4 linked regions of the Sus scrofa genome follow. The protein of the gene in region 1 purifies or fractionates together with the protein of each later gene. This does not show direct contact. Links are inferred from orthologs where the notes say so. Each region holds a gene or a part of one and is shown on either strand. Other genes may lie near its edges. The genes, in order: GNL2, KRR1, SRPK2 and RPL35.

The links.
Region 2: the proteins of GNL2 (region 1) and KRR1 purify together in Homo sapiens (affinity purification with mass spectrometry; 3 studies listed by BioGRID and IntAct, with this or other methods). This does not show direct contact. The link is inferred for Sus scrofa from reciprocal best matches to the Homo sapiens genes GNL2 and KRR1.
Region 3: the proteins of GNL2 (region 1) and SRPK2 purify together in Homo sapiens (affinity purification with mass spectrometry; 3 studies listed by BioGRID and IntAct, with this or other methods). This does not show direct contact. The link is inferred for Sus scrofa from reciprocal best matches to the Homo sapiens genes GNL2 and SRPK2.
Region 4: the proteins of GNL2 (region 1) and RPL35 purify together in Homo sapiens (affinity purification with mass spectrometry; 3 studies listed by BioGRID and IntAct, with this or other methods). This does not show direct contact. The link is inferred for Sus scrofa from reciprocal best matches to the Homo sapiens genes GNL2 and RPL35.

What each region holds. Positions count from the first base shown.
Region 1 is NC_010448.4:93,621,855-93,625,954, reverse strand, and holds part of GNL2 (nucleolar GTP-binding protein 2), read left to right. Parts: intron 1-1,541; coding exon 1,542-1,999; intron 2,000-2,347; coding exon 2,348-2,427; intron 2,428-3,272; coding exon 3,273-3,358; intron 3,359-4,100. UniProt on the Homo sapiens protein: GTPase that associates with pre-60S ribosomal subunits in the nucleolus and is required for their nuclear export and maturation.
Region 2 is NC_010447.5:38,811,463-38,815,562, reverse strand, and holds part of KRR1 (KRR1 small subunit processome component homolog), read left to right. Parts: intron 1-2,080; coding exon 2,081-2,158; intron 2,159-2,259; coding exon 2,260-2,353; intron 2,354-3,705; exon of another isoform or gene 3,706-3,879; coding exon 3,880-4,022; 3' UTR 4,023-4,100. UniProt on the Homo sapiens protein: Part of the small subunit (SSU) processome, first precursor of the small eukaryotic ribosomal subunit.
Region 3 is NC_010451.4:105,034,068-105,038,167, reverse strand, and holds part of SRPK2 (SRSF protein kinase 2), read left to right. Parts: intron 1-651; coding exon 652-898; intron 899-1,744; coding exon 1,745-2,227; intron 2,228-4,100. UniProt on the Homo sapiens protein: Serine/arginine-rich protein-specific kinase which specifically phosphorylates its substrates at serine residues located in regions rich in arginine/serine dipeptides, known as RS domains and is involved in the phosphorylation of SR splicing factors and the regulation of splicing.
Region 4 is NC_010443.5:265,638,980-265,643,579, forward strand, and holds the start of RPL35 (60S ribosomal protein L35), read right to left. Parts: upstream 3,300-4,600; 5' UTR 3,276-3,299; coding exon 3,273-3,275; intron 2,807-3,272; coding exon 2,670-2,806; intron 1,561-2,669; coding exon 1,479-1,560; intron 1-1,478.

The sequences.
Region 1 (4,100 bases):
AGTAGCTGTTCGAAGTTACATTCCCACCCACAGTGTTGGAGGGTCCCTGTCTCCACACCTTCCCCAGCATTTCTTATTTGTTATTTGTGACAATGGCCATTTTTAATCATGGCCTTTCTGACTAGTATGGGGTGGTACCTCAGTTTTGATTTGCATTTCTCTAATAATTAGTGATTTGAGCATTTTTTTCATGTCTTTGGCCATCAAATACTTATTTTTATTTATACTGCAGGGAGACAGGTAGTAAACAAATAAGCGTATAGTGTCAGGAAATACCGATTGCTGTGAGGGCAACTAAGACAGGGCGAAGGATTTATGGGGGGCAAAGGAGGGCTTTTGTAAGCGGGGTGGTCAGGACGGCCTCTGAGAAGGAAGTGACCTTGCAGCGGAGACCTTAGTGATCTGAGGCAGGAGCCACATAGATGCGGAGGGGAGAGTGTTCCAGGCATCAGGAGCAGTGGACCCAGTGCACCTGAGGTGGAGCCAGTCTGACCTGTCTGGTTCTAGAAGAAGTCATGGGGCCGCCCCCTGGCGGGCTCGGGAGCACCGAGTGACGGCGGAAGCCTCTGGGTCTGAGGAGGCCCATCTCTGCTCCCTTGTGACGCTGTGTGGAAGCGGCAGAGTTTTCTCTAACTCTTGCTGTGTGTCTAGTCATTGGGGTTAGGTGACTAGCTCCCCCACTCTGTGACTCTTGCCTTTTGCTCTTGGTGGTGGCAGAAACCCCCTCGAGCATCCGAAAGCTATCACTACCAGCTTCTGCCCGCGAAATGGATGACAAGGCGCACACGAACTGTGTGTGCAATCTCCTGAGTTTCATGGCTTCCTTATGCATTCAGTGCTTTGAGCAGCCACCCCACCTTGGGGAAAAATTCCTTGAGTTCTGTGAGTCTCAGTTACGAGAATACAATGGGGAAGAATATTCATAATATTCTCGTAATATTAATATTATAAGAATATTCATAATATTCTCGTAATATTAATATTATGAGAATATTGCCTATGTGAAGCCGCAGTGCCAGGCCTGCTCACCCTTCCCTGAAGGGGAGGCCCCAGCTCTCAGCCTCTTTCTTACCCGTTCCCACCTCAGGGCTCATTCTCAGTCCTCCCGGGACGGCCCCTCCTTCACACCCTCCCTTCCCAGTGCCGCCTCAGTGCCTACCCTCAGCCTGTGGGGTGTACTCAGCCTGGCTGTGCTTTCCTTGGCAACCCCATTCCTCGCGATCCTCGGGGACATAGGGAATCTCGCCTCCTGCAGGGTGTCGTTGGTTGGTGTTGATGGTGAAATACTCTTGGGGTTGGTGCATTCTTTGGGACCCCAGCTGTGTTCCTCTGACCCTTCAGTGCTGGGCTCAGGGTTTAATGTATGTTGGCTCAGAATAGATCTAACAGGATGACTCAGATGCCGGCGTTTTCCATCCTTTCCCTTGGGCCTGAGAGGAGAACTACCTCATTTAAGAGCAAAGTGTGTAAGTTCAGACATTCGGGTTTTGTTTTCTGACTCCGTTTCTCCCCGTGCTCCCACCCCTTTTTGGCCTAAGTAGCTTCCGTCCGCCTCGACTTTGGAAGTTGCCCCAGAAACAGCCCAGAACAACACAGAAGAGGAAACCCCAGAATCTGGAGGTGGAGGGTCAGAACCCGGCCTTGAGAAGAAGGAAGAGGAGCCTGGCCAGTGCGGCGCTGACGCAGAAATGCAACAGATCCTTGCGCGGGTCCGGCAGAACTTCGGCAAGATCAATGTCGTGCCTCAGTTTTCGGGGGACGACCTGGTTCCCCTGGAGATGTCCGATATCGAGGAAGAGCTGGAGAGCCTCTCTGGGGAGAGGGAGGAGGAGGAGGAACAGGAGCCCCAAGAAGACACTGACGAAGAGCCTTTCACAGAAGCCCAGGAAGAACACACGGGGAGCAGCACCAAGGCCGTCATTCAAGCCCTGGATGAGAAGATTGCCAAGTACCAGAGGTTTTTAGACAAAGCCAAAGCAAAGAAGTTCTCGGCGGTCAGGTAGGGTTCTCATGGGCACAAGTGGCAGGCTGCTCCTTGTGTTCCCAGAACCTTGCCCTGAGGATTGCAGCGGTATGGGAGGTGGGGGCGCGCTTGCCATGTTTAAAAAGTATTCTGTGCGTTTTTAAAATTCAGCAACCTGCAGTGTGAGAGGCTCAGTAGTTCTCTCTTTTACAAGTGCCCAGGGCCTGCAAAAACTTCGGAGGTGCTTCCACCAGTGGTGTGAACTCCGTGAAGAGGAGCAGAGTCTCTTTGATCTGCGAGCTTGTCACCGTCTCCATGTGGGCACGTGACATGAGCAGCAGAGGGGATTGCTGGACAGCTTTGTGACTCTGCTCTCCTTTTCAGAATATCCAAGGGACTGAGTGAGAAGGTTTTTGCAAAACCTGAGCAACAAAAAGCAGTTGAAGAAGATGTAGAAGATACAGGTATAGTTGAATTATTTAAGTCATGTGGATGGGATCTGCATCTTTAGAACTGGGGACCCAAGTTTAATCTCCTCTTTGTTTCTTATACTGTCATCCACACAGATGTTGAGCATATCTGGCCTATCACCCCGGTTCCACGTACTATTTATCACACCTGTGCTTTTTATTCTGCACATTTCTTGGGAATTAAATGGCAGTTCAGGAAAATTCCTCTAAAAAGAGTACATTAGGAGTTCCCTTTGTGGCTCAGCAGTTAACAAACCCAACTAGTGTCCATGAAGATGTGGGTTCGATTCCTGGCCTCACTCAGGGGGTTAAGGATCTAGCGTTGCCATGAGCTGTGGTGTAGGTTGCAGACACGGCTCAGATCCCCGAATTGTGCTGTGGCTGTGGTGTAGACCCACAGCTGTAGCTCCAATTTGACCCCTGGCCTGGGAACCTCCACAAGCCCCAAGTGCAGCCCTAGAAAGACCAAAAAATAAAAATAAAAAAGAGTACATTAACCTTGTAATCTAAGGGTAGGTCCAGAGACACATTTTTTTCAGCTGGGGTAGGGAGCAGATTGGGGTTCATGTATTTTTTTTCTTAACTTGGTTGGACTGACAGCTTCCATATCAAGAGTGTGTTTTCGTGACACAAATGCAAACCCTGCAGAGGCCTGCGAGGTCCTCGGGGGCTGGCAGCCTCCCAGCCTCCTGCTCCGCTGTACTCACCATACTCCGGTCCCACTGCCTTCTGCCTTTTTCTCTAGCATATCGAGCTCATTCCCACCTTAGGGTTTACAGACACATTTTGAATAAAAAATTCCTTTTTCTTTCTTGTGTGTGTTCATGTATTGTTCCTAGCACCTACCAAAAAGGGAAAGAAGAGGAAGGCACAGAGGGAAGAAGAGCATTCAGACAAAACTCGCAGGATGCTTACATCTAAGGAAGTACGTGTTTTTGTCTTAGGCATAGAGCAGAGAGGAGAAGGCGATTTTTTTAACTCAGTCTTTCTGAAACTGTCTAGAGTTGAAATCAAAGAACCCCAGTCCTGGGAGTTCTAGTCGTGGCGCAGTGGTTAACGAATCCAACTAGGAACCATGAGGTTGCGGGTTTGGTCCCTGCCCTTGCTCAGTGGGTTAACGATCCGGCGTTGCTGTGAGCTGTGGTGTAGGTCGCAGACGCGGCTCGGATCCCGCGTTGCTGTGGCTCTGGCGTAGGCTGGTGGCTACAGCTCGGATTCAACCCCTAGCCTGGGAACCTCCCTATGCCGCGGGAGCAGCCCAAGAAATAGCTAAAAAACAAAAAACAAAAAAAAAAAAAACCCAGTCCTAAGTGACCCAGTTGAGATCAGTGAAACAAAATCAAAGAGTTGACCCCTGAGTTTGGGTCGTATGTTTGAGGAATTTCTGATCGCTGATCTCAAGTGTGCGGCCTCTCATTTGGAAGAGTCAGTTGGGTTTATGAGAAGTGATTCATGGTGAACAGAGCTGTGTAGAAAGACAGGTCCCTGCCTTCTGTGAAGTTCATCCCTCTAACCAGGCTCTCTCGAGCTGCAAGGGCCCTCTTGGGCGGTAGAGAGCTTATCATCAGAGCATTCAGCCTCAGACCAGGGAGCCGCTTGTCAGGAGGGCAGGAGAAAAGATTCGAGCATTAGATGAGGGTTGGACCAAAGGATGGTAACTTGGAGTT
Region 2 (4,100 bases), on another chromosome or scaffold:
ACAGCGAAGTTATTCAGATATATCTATATATATATTTATACACTATATTTTTCATTATGATTCATCACAGGATATTGAATATAGTTCCCTGTGCTATACATTAGGACCTTGCTGTTTCTTAAATAGGCTTAATTTGAATGAACTGTTTATGGGTGGGGAATGGAGGCTTCTATTGTGAGTGTAGTCTGGATCAAGGTGGTTGGTGTCAGTTGTGTATCAGTAGCCACTGTAAATGTTCCATGGATAAAAAAGTTCAATGATTTAGTCCACAGTGTTTTCCGCATCATTCATGTGACCATGTGCTGTATGATTGCTCTTGTTTTGAAATCTTAAATTCTATTACCCAATCCTTTTTCTAATATATGAATGTCTCTCATTTTGTTAGCTGTCTTCTGGCACCATTTCCTTTCTAAAATTTCCTTTCCTGTCTTACTCATTACTCTTCTTTCATACTCCCTTTCCTTATATCACACTTGCCCAACAGAACTCTAAGACTTGGATCAGTCCTAGAACTTGACTTTTTTCCTTTAATGTGTCCGCTAAACATAGCTGGAGAGAAGTCCTATCTTTGGACTGTGTCCCTTACAAATTCAGGAGTTCCCATGTGGTGCAGTGGGTTAAGAATACAGTGTTATCGCTGCAGTGGCTTAGATTGCTGCTGTGGTGTGGGTTCAGTTCCTAGCCTGAGAACTTATACATGTAACCACCTCAGCCAAAAAAAACATTTCCAGCCTCAGGTTTTCAGTCTTGTCCAGCAGCTCTCTTCATCCTCTTAATTCTTTAGGCATCCTCCCACTCCTAACATTGCCTTTTATTTTCCTGAAATATTTGAGATCTCCAGGGAAGAACTCTTTCAACTTCCTCTTTTCTCACATTTTTTCCCCCCTCATCTGCATCAGTCCTTTCTTTACCTCTTCTTTGAATTGTCTTCATCTGTCTTCTGAGGGGGATTGTTTCTTTATTCTCTCCCTTGGCAGTATGTTAAAGTCTTCCCTTTCTACTAGTTCTTTGTGCTCAGCATGTAAACCCATCCCTATCTTGTCTTCCCCACAGCCCTGTGTTTGTAGATTTTCAGGGAAGATTTGATGAAAGGTCAAAGATAAAAAAGGAATGGTCATCACAGTAAAAAAACAATGGCAATGTTGGATCATGAGGTCTGCTCTGGAAAAGGAAGAAAGTGAAGCCAAAAGCAAACTTATTTGGGGGAGAGTAGAGTGATCCAGTTTCTAAACCACATGCTTCCATAACACCTGATAGATTTCATATGGTCCTGGCCTGTACTTAGTAGTTACCTTTCTCTTGTATGACCATAAGCTGCTTGAATCAGTGATGTCTCATTTGACTTATTTGCTGTGTAATTATGGACAGTTTATTTAACCTGTCCATGCCTCAGTTTCTCCATATAATGGGGATAATATCTACCGCAAAGAATTGTTAATGAGGATTGAGTTAGTAAATTGTAGAGAACTTGTAAAGAGTTTAGAACAACATTGCCTTAGATATACTAATGCTCTGTATTAAATAGACCAGTTATATGTTAACTGTATATGGAGTGAGTGAGCTATTGCTTTCTCTAATTAGTATTTAATTAGTTGCCACATCCTGGCAGTTACTGCTTTTCATTTTGTATGCCGAAATCTCTATTCCAGGCTTTTATCTCTTCTTTCTTCTTCTGTACCTTTTATAAAATGCTGCTTTGCTCTTTTCACTTCAGGAACCTTCAGTCATTTCTAAATCACATCCCCACCTCCTTTACCTGTCATCCAAGTTTCTTCAAGCTTTCCCAAAACAATCTTTCCAGTTTCCTCTCACACGTTTCTGAATCATTGCCCTTCTACCCTATCTGAAGCAGTCTATTGTGAACTTCATGAACGCATCACCTACTTTCCCTCACACATGCTTTGAGGAATGTAATCCCCCTAAGCTTGAAGTACATTTCCTTCTTTTAGTGTTGCTACCTTACAAAGTAATCAGAGTTTTGACTCTACTGTCTTTTCTTCAAGGTCACTGTGACTTTTTTAGGAATTCTCATCTACATTATTTCTGATATAATTGTATGTATTTATACTGCTTTCAACAGATTGATAAAGAATTGGCTAGTGGTGAATACTTTTTGAAGTCAAGTCAAAAGAAGAGACAGAAAATGGAAGCAATAAAGGTAATTATAATAATAAGCAATAATTGCAAAAGTTCAGAGAAACTTGAATTCTTTAGCCATATAATGTTTTACTAACGTAGTTTTTTTTATTAATGATGTAGGCTAAACAAGCTGAAGCTCTTAGTAAGAGACAAGAGGAAAGAAACAAAGCTTTTATTCCACCTAAAGAGAAACCAGTTGTGAAACCTAAGGAAGGTAATGCTCGTTTTCCAGCTCTTGGTTGATGTAAAAGTCTGTTTATAGGAAAAGTGAACCCATAGTGAATTTGTCTGACTCTCTTTGAGTGGTAAGAAATAACCCTGTCATTAATTCTCAGCATTTCATTAATCACAAACCCTAGGGACAAGAGGTGACTGAGGTCATTTATTGTTTAGTAGCGGCTAGTGCCTATTTAATAGTATCCCAAATTGGCAGTCCCTTCCTGACTTCTGATTATGCTGAGGAAGGACTAAAGATATGAACCAGAGCAGTGAACCTGCTGTAAAAAGTAAAACTATAAGATCCCTGAGCTCTGCTATCATGCCTCTCAAAAAGAGCTTACCTAAAGTAGTGCTTTTGTTTACTTGTGTGACCTCTGGCTTTAAATTTTGATTCTTGTATTGTTAACATGGATTTCTCATCCCCTTAGGTTAAAAGAGCAGGAAGATCTTTCTTATTCAGGGACAACTAAAAGTGACACTCAGATAAAACACTTTTAGTGCCTTTTCTTCTCATTCCCTAGCCTCATTTTGATCTCTCATCTCCTCTTTTGCATTTTCTTTTCCACTAGTAACATTTGTGCTCTTCTGTCAGGTAATTCTCCAAAGTGGTCAGTGGCTCAGAGAGGGTAGGGAGGTCACCAGTAGCATTGCACCAAAGCCAGATGTAAATTACTAAAATAGTAGTGTTATGTCGGTGTTAACAGCTTTAAAAATACTGCATCCTACTCTTTAGATGATTGTTTATATAAAAGTTAAAAACATAAGCATTGTAATTTCTAGTTTGTACAGTCTGTTAGTTATGTAGCTAGTTTAATCTCAGTTTATTACTGATTAGAAGTGTAGCTGTTCTACTGTAGTGGAGGATTAGGCTTTTAAATTTTATCTCAAGTTGCTGGGTCATTTGTATGATGTCATTTTATTTTGTGATTCTTTTATGTCCTGAATACTATTCTTTAAATGCTAAGAGAAAGGTTTTTTTTGTTTTGTTTTGTTTTTTTCCTTCACTGCTTTCTTTCTGTTTTTAAGCTTTTTGGTGGTAGGATGGTTGGGTTCTATTAGGACCTCCAGATGCTCTCAGATTATTACCAAAATCTTACTAAATGAAATGCTACTATTAATTGAACTAATATTTGGAAAACTATTTAAGCTTTTAATATGGTATTAGATGAAGTAGATTTTGACCTATAGTTTCATGATTAGCTAAAAGTACTGAAGCCAGAAGAGTTAAATATATTTAAATTATTTCAGTGGGCAAGAAATGGGAAAGTTTACTTCCCATTTACTTTAATGGGAAAGTTGGCGTATTAAGGAAAAAGTTCCAATATATGGAAAAGAAAATAATCTCAGTTTAAGAGGAAAATGTAATTTTAATATAGTTGCATTGAGTAATTGTTCATATAAATTATGCCATTTTGAAATTTCTAACTTTCAGCAGATGTTTTGTAGTTTTATAACATGACCTTTCAATTACAGCAGTACTCTGATATTAAATCTTGTTACATGTATTTTTAACTTATTTAGCTTCTACTGAAACTAAAATTGATGTGGCCACCATCAAGGAAAAGGTTAAGAAAGCAAAGAGTAAGAAACTGGGAGCTCTTACAGCTGAAGAAGTTAAGCTTAAAATGGAAGCAGATGAAAAGAAAAAGAAGAAAAAAAAGTAGCAAAGACCAAAGGCCGAAACTCCTGAACTAGAATGTATTAAGCTACCTCCTTTTGTAAAGGATTTTGAGATACTAGGG
Region 3 (4,100 bases), on another chromosome or scaffold:
CAGCTTGTTTGGATGATTGATTCTGTGAGAGACTGGAGGTTCTCATTGCCAGTACTTTCCAAGTCAGATGGCCATGATTGGAGGCAGACTGAAACCGAGGCTTTTTCTTTTTTCCCCTCCGTATGCTCATTTTTTATAGTTCCTGCAGTCTTGGCAGCTGATAGCAGCTCATTGTGTGAGACCCAAACACAAACAGTGCTGTTGACCAACAATGAATGAAGTACACCTGTTTTGGCAGAGATTTCTTTTTTGGCAGACAGTTGAGGAAGTTGGGAGAGGCGATGTTGTTACTTTGTGGACAGGCAGAGCAAGTAAAACTTGCAAGAAGTGCTTCTTGTTCAAAGGCAAGAGTATCTGGGCATATTTAGTTCTTCTTGAGTTTAAAAAGACTTGTTGGGTTTAAGCTGTATCCCTCCAAGGACAGGAGCAGGTAGTGGTCCTGTGACTTGATTTACTGTTTCTTTTTTTCTGGTTTTGTGGTAACCCTAAACATGCCGTGGGTCTCACGTCTGGGCATGTGATTTTAATTGAATACAGCCTGAGAAAAAAACAGACTGTGTTGGTATTTGTCATGCTTCCAACAATTACACTATTGAATAGTGCCTTAAAAAGAAGCAAACTGACCGGTGGTATTTTCTTAACATGTTGTAGATAGGAAAAATATCTAAAAACAAAAAGAAAAAGCTGAAAAAGAAGCAGAAAAGGCAGGCTGAGTTATTGGAAAAGCGCCTGCAGGAAATAGAAGAATTGGAACGAGAAGCTGAAAGGAAAATAATAGAAGAAAACGTCACATCTTCTGTACCTTCCAATGAGCAAGATGATGAATATCACCCAGAGGTGAAACTAAAAACAGCAGAAATAGAGGAGGCAGCAGAGGGAGAGACTTCGAATAACAACGGTCAGTGCAATCTGGAACTCTAATAGCAGGGACCCCCCAGGTCACACATAGGGTGACTTAGTGCCACTGCTGCTGCTTCAGACATGAGGACAACCCTCTTCACCTCCTGATTGGAGGACGTGGGAGAACTGGCTGGTATTTGATTTGTAAAATGTATACAAGGAATATGTTAATATTTCTAAATATTTTTTTAAAAAACAGCAAGGTGGAGTTCCCTCCGTGGCTTAGCAGTTAACAAACTCGACTAGGATCCATGAGGATGCGGATTCGATCCCTGGCCTCTCTCTCAGTGGGTTAAGGATCCGGTGTTGCCGTGAGCTGTGGTGTAGGTTGCAGACTCGGCTCTGATCTGGCATTGCTGTGGCTGTGGTGTAGGCCGGCAGCTGTAGCTCCGATTATACCTGGCCTGGGAACCTCCATATGCCACGGGTGAGGCCTTAAAAAGCAAAACAAACAAACAAACAAATAATAACCCAGCTGGAAACCCTCTGAGGAACATCACTTATGTCTTTATCATGCTAGTGATTGTTCTTCATCTTGTAATTAAGTTTTAACAATAATGCACTCTGAGACCTTTTCTGAAGAAGATAAAAATACAGTTCTGTTTATATACTTATTTTGCCTAAGAGCTGCTGACTTTTTCTCATAAGTGTAGGCCAGGTATTTAATAAATAAAAAATAAGATTTAGAAAACCTAAAGATTTTCCCTGAGAGCCAGGAGGTGTTTGCTCTGTAGGACCTGAAGTTGGCACATTCAGATGTGTCTCTTGCTGGAGGAGATAAGTGCTGAGTGCACTCTGTTTAGGAGAGTGACATGTTCTGATTCTTACCCTTTAACTTTTTAAGGTGAAGCTGAGGACCAGGAAGAGAAAGAGGACACTGAGAAAGAAAACACAGAGAAGGATGAAGATGATGTGGAACAGGAACTCGCAAACATCGACCCTACTTGGATAGAATCACCCAAAACCAATGGTCATATTGAGAATGGCCCATTTTTACTCGAACAACAACTGGATGATGAAGATGAAGAGGAGGAAGATTGCCCGAATCCTGAGGAATATAACCTTGATGAGCCAAACGCAGAGAGTGATTACACATATAGCAGCTCCTACGAACAATTCAATGGTGAATTGCCAAATGGACGACATAAAATTCCTGAGTCACAGTTTCCAGAGTTTTCCACGTCATTGTTCTCTGGGCCTTTAGAACCTGTGGCTTGTGGCTCTGCACTTTCTGAGGGATCTCCACTCACCGAGCAGGAGGAAAGCAGCCCATCCCATGACAGAAGTAGGACGGTTTCAGCCTCCAGCACTGGGGATTTGCCGAAAAGTAAGTGTCCCTTTCCACTGGGTGTCTGCTTTCAGTGGCCCAAGTGTCATACTCTTGACAATTGCTATGAAAGGAGTTGGTTGGAAGTGGTAAATAGCTGCGTCTGTATGCATTAACCATTTTCCTCTTTTTTTTGAAATTAAAAAAAAACTTTAATTAAAAATTTACTAGGGTACAGTTGATTTATAGTGTTGACTCAATTTCTTCTCTCCAGCATAGTGACCATTTTATTACTTTTGTACTCATGAGTAAGTTAATGTAGTTTAAAATAAATTTTGTGCCACTAGGCTTTCTCTTGCTCTCTGTGTATCAGATCCCATTTCTGAGTTTTCTTCCTTCCTGTCTTTAGTGACATCATACATGTGCAGAAACCTTCCAAGTCTAGCATCTTACACCTGTAGCTTTCAAGCATGTGTAGTTTAATACATAATTTGTGCTTCCATCTCATAGTGCTATGTTTGGTTTTTTGTTTTTGTTTCATTTCTATTCAAACAAAAATGTTGTGCCTGCTCTTTATCTGTATTGAGGAAGAAGTGCCCTAGTTTATTCTGTAAGTTGTCCTTAATTATAGGACTATCCCATTGAAATTTTAAAGAAAGTGGCATGGGTTTAAATGTGTTGGTGACCTATATCAAACCTTGATTTTGAGAGTGAATGCTACATGACATATCTCTGACTGTGGTATGCTATAGGACTTCAGTCGGCGAACATGGGTGTCATGGTTAGTTTCCTTTCTGGCCCACTGTGGAAAAGCTCAGAAACCTCCTCTGCTCCCTCTGCTGACAAGAGTGTTTAACACATGAAGAGCCAGTTGATCAGCCAGCTCAGCACATAGCCCAAGATATTCTGCAGGTCCTTTCTTTCCAGCAAGCGAGAGAGCTACAGAGCCATTTCTGGTACTCATTGGTCTTAACTAATCATCTTAAGGATGTGGTTTTATTTCTTTTTTTTTTTTTTTTAACTTGAATTGACGTATTCTGCTCCTGTTCACCTTTACCACAACCAGAGGCTCTTTGAAGGTGCTTCTTAATAAAATGCTTTCATGAAGAATGTAGCTTCATCTAAGGAAAAACTCACTTCTCTGTCTCCTTTGCTCTCATTCTATTTCCAAACTACTGCTGATGCTTCTGGTTACCGTGCTAACAATTCTCTGATACTAGCTTGGTGTCCTGCAGTTTAAGTGAAGTCTGACACTTCTTGGAGATAGCATCAGAGTCCAGGGTTAAGGGCTCATTCCCACAAGACTGTCCCTTCCCATGCATCAGTCACAAGTCCACATTGTCACCTGTGCATCTGAATGATCTATTATAAATCAGAGATTTCCATGACTCTATCCTGGATTGGATTAATTTATTAGAGCGGCTCACAGAACTCAGGAAAACAGTTTACTTGCTAGGTTGTCAGTATGCATAGCGCATGGTGTGTGGGAAGGGGCCAGGCTTCCATGCTCTTTCTAGACGCATCACACATTCCTTCATATCACAGACACATTTTTCTTTTTAATTAACACATTGGGTTGTGTGTTATCATTGTTTACAGCTTTTTTTTTTAATGCTAGAATTATCCCTAATAATTTGTCAACTTCTTCAGGTTGGGTCTTAAGTCCTTTTGACGAAACCTGTTATTCGTTAAGTGCTTCCTTGCCCTTTCAGAACCATGTGCCCCAGGCTAGAGTCAGTTGTGTCTCCAAGTAATTGTTGCTTATTAATATAAAAAAATTTTATAGTGTACATAATAGATAGAAACAGTAGTATGTAAACTTTATAAACATACATATATTAAAATCAGTGTTCCGATGTCGTCTTTATCGATGGAGTAAACAGTGAAAGGGTTTAGTAATACCAAGTGTAGCATGGGCTCTTTCCCATTCCTT
Region 4 (4,600 bases), on another chromosome or scaffold:
TGCCAGCCTATACCACAACCCTGGCAAAACCAGATCCTTAACCCACTGAGTGAGGCCAGGGATCAAACCCACTTCCTCAAGGATACTATTTGGGTTCATAAGCCACTGAGCCACAACAGAAATTCCCTCAAAGGTTTCTTTCTTTTTTTGTCTTTTTGCCATTTTTGGGGCCGCTCCCGCGGCATATGGAGGTTCCCAGGCTAGGGGTCTGAGCAGAGCTGTAGCTGCCAGCCTACACCAGAGCCACAGCAATGTGGGATCTGAGCCGCGTCTGCAACCTACACCACAGCTCACGGCAACGCCGGATCGTTAACCCACTGAGCAAGGGCAGGGATGGAACCTGCAACCTCATGGTTCCTAGTCGGATTCGTTAACCACTGCGCCACGACGGGAACTCCTCAAAGGTTTATTTCTGATCATCTTTTCACTAGAGAGAATCCACCAAGTTCTTTTTTTTTCCCCCTGGGGAACTCCAGGCACACCTCTTTTGATAGACCAAATGCTCTAGTCTTCCAAATGCTCATTTGGGTACTGATGTGAAGCCATTCTTCAAATGTAATCAGAAAAAATCCCACTGAAGACAGCAGCTTCAACCAAATGTTGAGCTCCAGCCTGCCTTTGATATTCTTGTCCTGACAGCAGCCCCCACAATCACACAAGCCAACTCCTTACAGTAAGTCAAACGTATGCATACACATCATGGAAACTCTCCTACTGGTCCCATGTCACTCCTTGAACTCTAATGATACTAGTTTTAAGGACAAGACCAGAAATGGTTGTGGAAATCCTAGGCTGAGCAACACTCAACCCACCCCTCCCTAAGACACTGTTTGGAACCTAGGCCCCATCAATCAACTTATTGTAGTTGACGCTGGGAAATTTAACCTAAGCCTTGAAGTCCCCATTTAAAAAATAATACCAGATGCTGGACAGTGAATGACACTGGGCTAGCAATACAATTAAAACATTTAAACAGTTAATTCTCAAACTCCTTAAACTCATCACACTGGTGAGATTTTATTCAAAACCCCAAGTTTCTGGGAGTTCCCATTGTGGCCCAGCAGACGTGAATCTAGTATCCATGAGCATACGGGCTCAATCCTTGGCCTTACTCAGTGGGTTGGGGATCTGGCGTTGCCATGAGCTGTGGCACAGGCCGGCAGCTGTAGCTCCGATTCCACCTCTAGCCTGGGAACTTCCGTATGCCACAAGTATGGCCCTAAAAAACAAATCGCCCACCACCCCCAAGTTTCTAGCAAGACTCCCACATCTTTGAGTACCTGACAACTGCAGCCCCAAGGAAATGCAGTCTGCTTGCCATATACTAGTCAGAAGGCATACCAAAAAAGCTGAGAAGGCTCTGGAAAGCCCCGTTCTGAGCACCTGTGTAGAGAAGCTTACCAAACTGCTCCGCTGGCCAAAGAAGAGCTGGAATTTTGCTCCTTGTAGCCAAGCACCACCCTCCCTTCCCTACTAACCTTATAGAATTTCCTGAGGTTCTCTTTCTGGGTCTGGTTGATGACGGTGAGAACGCGGGCAATGGATTTGCGAACAACTCGGCTACAAAACAGAGACATCAGTGAAGATGGGGAAGGCACACAGCACTCCCCACCAGCTCCCCCATTTTCATCCATCTCAGGAGGAAGGTGTTCTGGAGGCTAAAGAGACAATACATGGGCATCCCAGGTGTGGGGACAGGGGAATGGCTGACATATCTAGTGCTTTTGCAGAATTGTGAAGTGTTCATTGAGGAGGCTTAATGAGAAGAGGTGGAGGGCAGATCAGGAAAGACATTCCACCCCAGGTCATACATCCTGAAATCTATAAAGAAGACCTAATCAATGTTGATTTGAATGAGCTGACTGGAGGGACTCATGCCACAAGCTGGGCAACCAAGTTCAGTTCAGGGGGTCATAGGAGGAGCCACTTGGGAGGGAAAATGAGACATCTGAGAAACAGAAATGCTAGGGATGGGGTGGATGAGTGGGGAGGCTGAAATGAGGAACAGGCTGGATAAGCGAATTTTTAATCATGTTGAATATGAGGCATGTAGCAGGATGAGGGCCACTCAGTTAACGGTAAACCGCTCTTGAGGATCCACAGAAGTTGCTTGCACACTAACATAAGAAAATTACTGGGGACCCATTTTATAGAAAGGGAAAAAACCCTTAGTGATCAGGCAACCTGTCCAGAAGGTTAGATGTGGCAGAAGCAGAATTTTTATGCCCAAGTTGACTAACTCCAAACCCATGTTCCTTTCACGAGGCTTGGTTTTTGCTCCACATACAGCAGCTACACTACAACTCAAGTAAGAGGTGCAACCAAGTGAGGAGAGATAAGACAAAAATCAAGTGCTGGTAGGAGGTAGGAGAATGGGCTCCAGTTAGATATTCGGAGGCAGCATTAAAACAGGTCTTCAGGGACAGCCAGTTCTTTCCCCAGCCAGACAGGCCCAAGGAGGTGTCAGGCAAAAGGACCACAGGGTCAAATGCAGGTAAAGGCAGCGGGTCTCCAGGCGCCTCGGCCTGAGCAAGGGGAGCCGGGAGAGGATGGCTAGAAAGGGCGTGATGTTCCCACCCACAGATCCATGCAATAGGCACTTAAAACGCTCCCAATGCTTTTGTATCCCCCACACCCAGAGGGCCGTGGTCTGAACATCCGTCACTTACATCTTGGAGAGTTTGGAAGCCGCCCCGCCTGTCACTTTCGCGACGCGCAGTTGGGACAGCTCCACCTTCAGGTCCTCCAGTTGTTTCAGCAGCTCCTCCTTCTTCTTGCCCCGAAGGTCTCGAGCCTTAATCTTGGCCTGCGCGCAAGAAAGAGTAAAGTCTGGTCAAACACCTGCAGGGCCGTCTGCCCCACGGCCGCTTACCGAGGCCTCCACCTCCCGTCCTCCCCTCCTCCCGCGTCGTGATCAGCCCCTCGGGGCGCGCGCCTCGCACTGGGCCAAGGGTGCGCTGGAGGGCCTGCACGACCGCGCCTTGGGCAGGGCAACCCAGGCTCCAGCAGACGCGGTCTCGCCCAGGCCTGCTTCGAGACGGGCTGCCACCCCTATTCCGCAGAAGGAAAGACAGAGGCCCAGGCAACGAGCACCTCTCCGGGCCCAGGCCTCTGGTGGAAGGCGAGAAGCCGGCTGGGGCGATGCTAGGCCATTCCGCACAGCGTCCCACAGGCCAGGCTGGCAGATGAGCTCCCAGGACTCGCCTCGCGGCCCCCACCCCAGCCCCCGAGCCCCACAACGCGCAGATGGCACCCGATACCCCGGCCCTCACCATGGCTGTGCAAGCTGCCGCCGCCGCCTTCTTGGAGGGAAAGAGGAAGAGGCGGGGCTGACCTCGGCAACTACTGCCGGGTAGCGGTGGGCGTGGCCAGTGGCTCCGCGGCCGGGGAGCTCCAGCTCCTCCCTGCTACTTCCAGCCCTACTGGCGCGCCGCGAGTAATGAGTGGTAAAGTTAGTCCAGCTCTGCTCCGGGGAGCCGGAGCCCCGCCCAGCAGTGCTCGCCTCTTCCTTAGATTTGGTCTAATGCCCTGAGCAACGCAGTGGGGTAAGCGAGGCCTGGGGTGAGGGGCAATTTGCCAGAGATGGCAGAGTGAAGACGGATTCATTTATTTCTTCATTCATTCATTCGGTAAATCTTTGCTGATCGCCCAGTCTGCACTACTTCCAGCTAGGAACCAGTGTTCCGGAATATAGGGGATGAAGGTTGGGGTTTTCAAAGATGAATTAACATGGCCCCCCTCCCTTGAGGGAACTTGAACTTCAAGGTGGGCGGGGAGGACCGGGGTCAGACAGGTATAATCCAACTGCATAAATATTCTAGTGGAGGCAGCCAGTGGTAAGGTCAAGAGCAGTCATGGCTTTTTTAGTGAACCTGACCCGGTTTCAAATTCTTACTCTGTTGCTTGGAGCTAGCTGAGACTCTAGGCAAATCAAATCCCTTCCCCTGAGTGTCAGTTTTCTCACCTGTGAAGTGTGGTATTTGTGAGGATCAGGAAAATGACATGTAAAACTCTAGTCCAAGACCTGATGTGTAACAATTGCTCAAAGTATTATCCATATTAATGCTCCCAGTTTAATGAACACTTGAGGGGGCCCTGAAAGCTAAAGGGAAGGGAAAGTGATCAAGCTTTCTAACTGGACAGTTTTATCGTTGCTCCAACCAGCAAATGTGTATCAGTCAGTGCTCTAGTGTCACTCTACTGCCCTTAACAAAGACTCATCCGCATGTCTTAGAGCTCTCATTAAAGCCAGGTTGCCCCCTGTTGCTGTCAGGTGTCACCTCCAGGGAGCCTCTGCTTGTGTCTGAAGCTTTCTGTGCAATCCTCTCTTTAGCTCCAAACACACTGAATTAAAATGAAAGTTATGTGTTTATCTCCACAGCCAGCCTGGAAGTTAGTTCCCCAAGGGCAGAACCATGGCGAACACCTGGTTTATTTTTTCTAGACTCCAGGCCCAGCACATGAATACTTGTTGGATGAATTGAATTAAGAAGCATTGCCTCAGACCACAATGAGGCAAGACTTCCAGGAAGTGGAGGGAACTAGGGAAGAGAGGGCAGAGGACAGTGCTGGTAAGGATTAGTTTTACATGGAAGTTGAA